Linked DNA regions of Schizosaccharomyces pombe. The main gene of each other region encodes a partner of the protein of the gene in region 2 in a complex. Each region holds a gene or a part of one and is shown on either strand. Other genes may lie near its edges.

Evidence for each region.
Region 1: arc3 (region 2) and arc2 share a complex: the UniProt entries of both Schizosaccharomyces pombe proteins name them as parts of the arp2/3 complex.

What each region holds. Positions count from the first base shown.
Region 1 is NC_003424.3:2,749,224-2,752,567, forward strand, and holds arc2 (ARP2/3 actin-organizing complex subunit Arc34), read right to left. Parts: upstream 1,760-3,344; 5' UTR 1,749-1,759; coding exon 1,687-1,748; intron 1,647-1,686; coding exon 755-1,646; 3' UTR 501-754; downstream 1-500. Other genes in the region: NuA4 histone acetyltransferase complex subunit Eaf6, read left to right, coding at 1-324; SPOM_SPAC6F6.11C (pyridoxine-pyridoxal-pyridoxamine kinase), read right to left, coding at 2,449-2,929, 2,989-3,106, 3,164-3,344. UniProt on the Schizosaccharomyces pombe protein: Functions as actin-binding component of the Arp2/3 complex which is involved in regulation of actin polymerization and together with an activating nucleation-promoting factor (NPF) mediates the formation of branched actin networks.
Region 2 is NC_003423.3:3,108,869-3,115,371, forward strand, and holds arc3 (ARP2/3 actin-organizing complex subunit Arc21), read right to left. Parts: upstream 3,370-6,503; 5' UTR 3,337-3,369; coding exon 3,331-3,336; exon of another isoform or gene 3,285-3,330; coding exon 3,185-3,284; exon of another isoform or gene 3,105-3,184; coding exon 2,829-3,104; exon of another isoform or gene 2,733-2,828; coding exon 2,590-2,732; 3' UTR 2,332-2,589; downstream 1-2,331. Other genes in the region: SPOM_SPBC1778.07 (carnosine N-methyltransferase), read left to right, coding at 1,093-1,594, 1,712-2,331; SPOM_SPBC1778.09 (GTPase-activating protein), read left to right, coding at 3,856-5,100; pdk1 (serine/threonine protein kinase Ppk21/Pdk1), read right to left, coding at 5,593-6,503. UniProt on the Schizosaccharomyces pombe protein: Functions as a component of the Arp2/3 complex which is involved in regulation of actin polymerization and together with an activating nucleation-promoting factor (NPF) mediates the formation of branched actin networks.

The DNA of each region.
Region 1 (3,344 bases), on a different chromosome or scaffold from region 2:
CGACAATTGTTGGAAACTTCGTTAATAGGTCTCGAGGACTCTATCTATAGGCTGGAAGGCAGTTACTTAGAAAAAACATCGGGTACTGGCAACATTATTCGTGGATTCGAAGGTCTTTTAAAAAACAATGCATCAAACCTCCGCCGTCGTGCAGACTATTCGGAATCAGACAGACTGTTTTCTCTTTCTTCCCTGTCGAGTCCCCATACACGTAGTCCAGCTTATGACCTCGACGACTCGACAGAAACTAGTCGAAGAAGAAAACGAAAAAATGAATCTGATAGTCACGAAGGAAGAAGACGTTCTTCTTTTCGAGAACTATAATGTTACTCAGAAAACGGATATAAAGAATATACTTTAAATTTTATGAGGAAGTTCCTTTTTCGGAGCTTTTACAAATCAATTTGCGATTATTTTCTCCTTCTTCTAAGTATTTTGCAATAGCGCTACAAAATTACGGCTTAACTAGCTATTCAAAGTTTGTCCTTTAGAACAGTTACTATTTATGACTTGTATAATACAATTTTCATTTTCAAAAAATAAGCATCTCTTATGTAACGTGTGTATCTACAATCAAAGATTGATATTCCTGTATTTTGCGCTAGCATCATTTAATCAACCCAGCTTTGAATAGAAAAAAAGGGTGAGAAACAATTCACGTTTGTTACGAGGAGAGGGAAGCATGAAGCATATATAAAGATCATAACTACGTATGAAGATACGATGAAAGAAAGGATCAACATGGGACGGAACATTAAGCACGAACAAATGACCTACCAGTAGCTGTCTTTCTCTCCAATTCCACATCGGGCTTGGCCCGGTTCAAAACCTTTTGGAAGTCAGCAACACGCTTACGCATACGTTGGTGCATGTAAGCCTTGGAAGCCTTAATGTGAAAGTGTAGGGTGTTGCGGAAAACCTGGATATGAGATATGCAATCTTCACGATTTTGAGGTGTAAAATGACGCTCAAATAAAACGAATGTTACAAATCCAAAGTCATCACCCTTTTGAATACCCTGAATATCACGAATCTCCAAAGGTGGATCTCTATAGGAAAAGAGCACTTGAGGAGCGGTTTGAATAGCCGGACGGCGACGGGCATCAACGAATTCCTGCAAGAATACCTTGCCAAAGATGCGATCAGTCTCTTCACGGAATTTCGTTGAAAAGACGACTGTAACGCGATCATGCTCAGGCCATAAAACAATAGTTTCTTCATCACGATAATGAATTGCCATGAGCTCCTGAGAAGTGGCTTGCTTGTCAAGCATAGGGGCATTTTCCGGGTCTTTACGAGCCAAATCAGCTAGTTCGGCTTGTTTGGTGAATGCACGGTGGAAGGGAGCAGCTAAAACGTTTCTTTTTAACATAGAAATAGACATAGCTAATTGTTCTTTTTCCTCATCGGTAGCGGGAAGTTGTTGTAAGTCTATAAGAATACTGAAGTTGTATCCCATTTCAGGTTCATGCACATAAGCACCGTAAATCTGTTTCAGTAAATCCAGAGTACCGTAATTAACAAGCTCAGGATAGCATTTCATAGACAGACTGATCAAGATTTTCGTCTTTTCCTCAGGAGTTGAAATGTGGAACGTGACGCCATCAAAATCAGTTACCACTTGATCAATCGACGACGGGTTTTCGCTATAAATTAGTGAAATTCTTTATTGTTTGTTTCACATACCTTGAAAACCTTTCTGTCAGTAACTCGTAAATGAATATATTGTTATAATCTAATGAGAGCATGGTTGATGGTTAACGTGTGACGGACCCGGGAATTCTTATTACTCAGGTTCATATAGTGTTATAAATCCTTATACTGAGGCATCTGCAAACATGTAAGAAAACAACAGATCATATTAAAACCATGAACTCAATATATATTTTTAAAGAACTAACAATCTTTTTGTTCTCATTCTTTGTTCTAGATTACCTTTTGCTTCTTAGGTAAACTTCTACTATTTTACCGTCTATGGATATACTGAATATTTTATCTAAAATGTTAGAAATTAAAAAAAAAAAAAAAAAATTAATCAGTATATTAGGAGTTCTGAATCTAATTACTTTATCTAATTCGAAGTGTACCAATACATGGCTTTTATAAACCTTGGTTGCGAAATTTTGAAACCAGTCAACAGTCTTTAGGATATGGAATAAATAGTTATAAACTTCTAAATTAATTTCAATAAGCATTCTAATATAAAACATTGTATACTTCGCAAAAGAGAGGTATCGTAATGAACCTTTATTTAAGAGAAAAACAAACACCAAGTTAGCATGTAAAAAAGGCAAACGAAACAAGACACTGAAAAAATCTATATTTTGTGAATTTCACGTGCAATCCAAAAAAAGAAAGCGAAAAACGGATAGTAAAAAATCAACTTTGAAACAGCAGGCCTTGGTACAGTAAGGCCAACATATTTTAGACGCATAAAAGATCCGAAATTTAATAATAGTATACTGCTTCGAATAATTTGGATGGAGCTATTATGCTATTTTGACTATTAACTATGCAGAGTTCGGCATAAGCTGGGTGATATTCTTCAACACCTAATGCAGAAATTCGGTCGGCAGTTTTTTGGATCACTTCATGCACAGAACTAAGGGCCATTTCTACTGATTTCTTAAGTTTATCCTCCTTTATAGAGGCAAGGCTCTCAGTACAATCCGGGCTCTCAGCAATATGAGCTGCCATTAGTGCTGTAAATAGATCACCAGTTCCCCGAAATATCCCAGGAATCACGGGAATCAGAACAAAAAAACTTTTGGAATATATAGAAGATCCTATACAGTAGAGTTTTTCTACGCCGTTTTCTTCAACGACAAAAGATGAAATGACAACCCGTGGAACTTTATATTTTTGTTGTAGACATTCCACACATTTAAATGCTGTGTCGATTGAATTTATGCGCATCCCTGAAAGAATTCTAAGTAAAAGTCAGTGATTTTCAAACTCATTGCAGGATTGTTCCTTAAAAGTACTCACTCTGCTTCAAACCCATTAGGTGTAATTAAATCAGCAAAAGGGAGCATCTCTCTATACAGCGGGATAATGCTTTCTTCGACATAAAGCCTTCCATTATCTCCCAAAACTGGATCAAAAACTTTTTAGCGTCAGCATGTCAGTCTTCAAGGGAATTGGCAACTTCTAACGCACATACCCCAAAAAGCCTTCTTATTCTTGGATTTTACGGAGCGAACTATCTCCATTATTGCTTTTACACTTCCTATTCCACGGGCATATCCTGTCAACAAACATTCATAGCCACTGGGATTAGCTGCTGAAACACCCTTATACAAATCCAGAATTTGTTCTGCGCTTAAGGTCCTTCCTTTAACAAT
Region 2 (6,503 bases):
TTACAGAAGCGTAGAGCAAAACTTTGATCCGCTCGCTAAATGAGTTAATACACGTTTGCTTAGCCAATCTGTTAAAAGTTAATTTGCAATTGTAAAAAGTAATTTACTACTTGACGATGTCTTGCGTTGTAGCTTTAGATTGAATATATAGCTGGGATATCAACTACATTGAATTTTAATTTTTTTTACAGAATAAAAAGCTAAACGTAAGTCCATATCAAATTAGCGATATTACCGAATTCAAATGCCATAAACATCACAAACTAGCAAGCTCTTTCAATTGAAGTCAACTGATGCATCGACTTGAAAATTACTTAGTACTATATGTCAAGAAGCCAAAATTTCTACTTACTATGATAGTAGATCCTTTGTAAAACGTTGCAGAAAGTTTTTCCGGCCGTGAAAATTCGTGTTTTTTTTCTTTTGTTCAAGGGTTTAGGTCACTGAAGCCAACAATTTTTGATACAATATAAGAAAAAGAAGTAATTCCCGCTTTTAACTGCGCAATAGGATAAAAGATTAGCCAGATGTCACAGGGTTAAACTTTTAACCTGACTACCTTTTCACGTGTATTTCCAGTCTCGTTTATAAGCTGCAATATAAATATTGTATGATATTACTGCGTGCACCAAGATTCTCTTATATTATTTTCTTATAATCTACAAAACTCACAATACTACTATAACGATGCTTCAGAAGATTAGCTGTTCCGGTATTGTTGAAGCATGGTGAATTTCCTTTGCGGCTGCTGTTGTAAAATATTGTCTGACAACTATCCAAATAAAACCTATGGGATTTTTGCAAAAGGCAAACACTATTTTCATAGAGGCACCGCGTTGCAGGGATTTTCAGCAGAGATGATTCAATATTGCAATCAAACACAGTAGATATAAACATAACTTGAAAAGCTAATGAAATACATAAAACATAATTATATTAACCATAATATTCTTAACTTATTGGTTTCTTCAACACTTCCAACTTCAATGAAGCAACAAGTTAGAGGTTTAACTTCTCCACAACGCCAAAATTGCGACTTAGATGATAAAAATATTAAAGTCTAGATAGAGCTCAGAAACATCAAAAAAAACTATGGAATATGATGAGGAAGAAGTAAAAGTTTTGAAAGAAGTTTTAAGCGCGTTCTTTTTGTACAGGCAATATGCTCATACAATAACACAACAGAAGAGAAAATCGATGAGCAGGTTGTCTTTTGAACACAAGGACTTACTCTTACAGGACTCTGACAACAATTTTTTAAAGCATCTTTCAAGGATTGATCAATGTATCGAGCAGAACAGCGTGCTTGCTGAAGCAATCGCTAACGCAGCCATTCCTGTGTTCTGCAGTGATTTCGATCAAAATGAGTTATTTCATGTCAATGTTGATATGATGCAAAAAGTTTCAAGCACTCTCAAGCAAATTGCGAGAGATTGGTCGACCGAATGTGTTGAGGAACGCCGTACTACATATGCTCCTTTCATCGAGGAACTAAATTCACTTTTCCCATCTGATTCTATAGACAGATCTAAAATTCGTGTACTTGTTCCAGGTTCCGGCTTAGGAAGATTGGCCTTTGATATAGCTGTGGAAGGTAGGTACACTTGATACTATCAATCAAAAATAGCATGATTTATTATTTATCTGATTACATGTTTTCTAACTTCTTTCTAAATTTGGATTTTTGGACATAGCTTCTAACATTTAATAGGCTTTGCATGCCAAGGAAATGAGTTCTCATATTTTATGCTTTTAACGTCGCATTTCATACTGAATTGCGTAAAGCAGGAAAATCAGTTTCTTGTGTATCCTTATATTCATTCATTTTCGAACCATGTCATGCGTGATGACCAGGTGCGTTCATTAAATATTCCTGATGCAGTTCCCTCTCAATATCTGCGGAATTCACAAAACTTTTCAATGGCAGCCGGGGATTTCCTGGAGGTATACGGCACCGAAGAAAGTCGTGATTCGTTTCAAGTAGTAGCTACCTGCTTCTTTATAGACACTACAAAAAACATACTGGACTATTTGGATACAATTAAAAACTGTTTGGTAGATGGAGGTTATTGGATAAATCTCGGGCCTTTATTGTATCATTTTGAGTCAGAAGGTACTTCTAATTCTAACAGTGATAGCCAGCAACAACCTTTCGTTGAATTGACTCTCGAGCAGCTGTTTTACGTGATGGATAGTATGGGATTTGAGGTTTTAAAGCACAATTCGGTCGACACGACTTATATGGGGGACAAACGAAGTATGCTTGAATGGATATACCATCCTCATTATTGGGTCTGCCGTTTGCAAAAATCAAAATTACGATTTCAATAAAAATTTTTGAACCAACATTGAATATTACGACTTTAATCATTCAAATATTCCTTTAGCATAATTAACAAAGCTAATTGATAACTTGTACATGAAAGTAAAGCGATTATTTTTGCATCTACTATCTACGTATAAAACTGCCTACATTAAATAAGCCATTCGTACGCTTCAAAAACTTTATAAGCCGCATTTGAAATAAAGGAAACGGAAAAACATAAAGGCTTTGAAATACAGTATGAGCCAAATTATTAATTAATAGACTCACAAAGCTTTGTTCATAAAACGTCTCTTGCTGAAGCAAGTCCACCACTTGCTGGGATGATCCTTTTCAGTTGCATATACATGGGACAAAAGACGATAAGCAAGTTCCTGACGAAATTGAGTAAGATATGTACGCATTATTTCTTTTTTTAATAGTTAGCAAATGAAAAAAAAAGCAAGAAAGCTATTAGCGGCACAAACATCTATATGTCTAATGCCACAGTTTGGGTGAATCTTACCAGCATCTTGAGGAGAAAGGGGAGGAGCATATAATGCATTCAAGGGAAAGCCAGCAGAGCCAGGAATAGAAAAATTCTCCAACGCTAAACTATTAAGTTGACGTTCAGCATCACGATAATTGAGTCCATTAACTCTTCCCAAGCACTCACTGATAAATAATGTTCCATAAATTAAAGTACGGTCTGCTGGTCCCTTAATCTCAAAATTGCGGAAGAAACAATTGGCGCGAAACAGCCCAATGCATTCATCAATAATATCCATTTGACTCTCATCAGCTGTATAAAAAATGTTAGAAAGTACTCTAATAACATTAAGAATAGTCTTTAAACAGAGTTGACAAATATCTGGAACATACCAGGATAAGCCGGTCCACGAAACTTGGTTTTCAACGGCAGCATTGCTATGTTTCCCGTGGTAGGGACGTCCGTAAGACTTAAGAAGGAGGAATGATAGGCCTTTCATAACATGTCAGCAACAAAAATTCAAAACTTTAGAACATACCGGCATATCTAATGTCTAGTGCTTATGATGTTGTTGGATAACTTGAGCACCTGCTGAATGTGCCGATAGGGAGCATTTCGTCAAGCATCAATAGTGATAAATTAGCTTTTCTTTAAACAAAATAGCGAAAAGCTATGTAATTACAGTAAAGCAATATAGCGTGTCGTTTTTTTGTTTTGTGATCGGGTCTCGGTCTCTACTTTATAACTAGTTTTCATCAATGGAAATGACATAGAGCCAATAAATTTGTAGCGAGAACCAAATTCATAAGCATTTGCACGAATGCATTTATTGCTTGAAAAATTATAAAAACGTCAAAAAAAGATTTTCATGTTTGGTTATTTTGATTTTGGGATCTAACGTACTGACTTATATGGGGATAGACGGTCTTTTGGGACCGTAAACATTACTACATCGGAAACAATTCCCCCCTGTTAAATCTTTCTGTGTTGGATATTTTAATACAGTTTAGTAGGTAATCTGTTTTCTCCAGAGTGACGGAATTGAGGATATATCTGAAAGAGCATGGAAAACCCTTCCCCAACTAGAACAACCAATTTGCAACGAATTCGGTCGTTGTACAGGTTACAAGAAGACAAGAATAATTTAAATATACCAGAACCTATTAATGGAAAAGTTCAAGAAATCGATACAAAAGAGTCATTGGAAAATGTGGATCGTTACGGAAACTATCGCTCAGACTTTAATGTTAATAATTTAGGGTTCTATAAAGTTAGTAAAGACCCAACATTAGATAAACCAAACCCTGCCAAACGTCTTGGCAATAAATTAATCGGCCATGATGACATGCTGAAGTACGTTGATGAAAGCATCTTCATGGTTGTTCCCGGCGAGTCGCATGACCGCAACGAAATATCAGCTAAAGAGCTTTCCCGTATTCAAAAATGGAAATCGATGTGTTCAATACACCTCGTTTCCGGTAATCAGCTCCATTCTTTTCGAAAAACTCGTAAGTTAATTTTACGTACATTTAAGGGGATTCCAGATTGTTGGCGATCTATTGCGTGGTGGTCCTTTCTTGTGGATTCTCTTCCTGATAAAAAACTGATTGACAAGTATTACCAATTGAACGAGCAGATTTGTGACTATGATGTTCAAATTGACCTAGATGTTCCCAGAACAGCTGCTACACATTTCTTATTCCGAAAACGCTACATTGGAGGGCAACGTTTACTATTTAGAGTTCTTCATGCTGTAGCTCTCTATATACCTCGTGTTGGATACGTTCAAGGAATGGCTTCTATTGCTGCGACCTTGCTCATTTACTATCCCGAAGAACAAGCATTTATAATGATGGTAAATTTATTGGAAAATAGAGGCATGGGGGACTTGTTTTCTTCCGGGTTTGATACACTTTTAAAGGCTTTTGACATGCTTAAGCATGAGTTAAGTTTTACACAATCAGGCAGACATCTGGCGGAAATTGGAGCAGAACCATCTGCTTTTGCTACACGTTGGTATCTCACTGTTTTTCATCAATGCGTGCCCTTCCATACTCAATTACGTATATGGGATCTCCTGTTTTTATTAGGTGGAAGCAAAGGTCAAACTGTCAGGTTATTGCAAGCCACTTCTCTTGCGGTTATACAAGGAATGTGGGACACGCTAATTGATGCAGACTTTGAAGTAGTAATGCAAGCTCTGTCAGGTGTTATTCCCATTCAAAACGATAACGCCCTGCTTGCTAGAATTCAATTATTTTGGGAAAAAATGCCTTCTGAAAATTCTTCTAAAAGTAAGAGAAACTGATATTTCTAACTCTTTTTTAATAGCTTTATTAATTGTGGCCCACATGATGTAACATATGTCAACAAGATGAGGATTGATATCACAGAGCTTAGCATAATGGGTCCTGAACATTTATCATTTTCTTTTTCTGTTTTAATTTGGAACGTTGATAAACATTATTTCCTTGATACCACAAAACTTTTATTGGTATCAAGAGTATGCGCTTTAAATCGATCCTATCTAACTCTCTCTTCTTACTAATATTATAATTTTAACATCTCACCAAAAGAAATGGAATTTTAACATAAAATTAATTCAAGTATATATATTATAAATACTATACATATATATGTATACATAATACCTCTCCATCTTGCGACTTCCTAGGTGCGTCGTAATTTCTAATTATGTATAGCTTAAATAGTTAAATATTACCAAAACACTGACGACAAATAATAAAATATAAAGAAGGTAGTAAATGGGTTGAAAAATCAAATAAAACAAGGTATGGGGTTACTCTTCCTCGTTCTCTTCTACATTCTCTTCTGAAGAACGAGATTGATGAGAAGACGCAACATCAGCAAACTTAAGGATTTTGTCTTTATACTTGGTGACATCCCCGGAACTGTCTTCTATTATCCAGGACTGGACCTTATCTTCAATCAAGAATCGCTTGGAACTATTTTCATCAAAAATCACTACAACACTGGAATCCTTCAAGTTCACCTCCATCTCGATAAAAAGTCTCTCATGTTTTCCTTTACAAACAAAAGCGCATCGACCAACATCAGTTAATAGCATAACCCTTTGCTTTCTTTTCAAAAACATTTTTGAGAGTCCAGATGGAAACTTATTACCCTCAGGTACACTTGGAATGGGTGATACGAAGACCGAGGTAGATTCAATGATCGACTCAGACGATGGAACCAACTTGTAATAAAGTCTGTCAACAGGCATCTGATGGCTTCGAAGTGAAGCATAGCCATAATGAGCAGTTGGAGCAGTGAAACGATTTACCGTAGGAAGCTCCTGACGTCGAGCAGTTTCCTGATGCTTTACAATGGATGCAGAAGCAAATGCCGCGGCAGCATTAGCAGCAGCTGCGGCTGTCACATTTGAGCGATAATAAGCAGGAGCATTAGGAATGGCTATGTTATAATTAGGCCGGAATGACTGCATAGGAGGAGGATCTTGAGTCCATAAATTGTCCCAAGTAATAGTAGCAAAAAAAGGAAATTGTTTTATTTGTTGGGTTGTAGATCGATCAGATGGCTGAATACGGAAAAGATGGCTAAACAAAGGAACGATATCAGGTGGTAAGAGCTTTGGAAGCTCATATTCCAGGCTCATTATCTTTTTGAAAATATTATTAGGATTGCTGCCATGAAAAGGAGGGGAACCAACAATCATTTGATAAACAACAC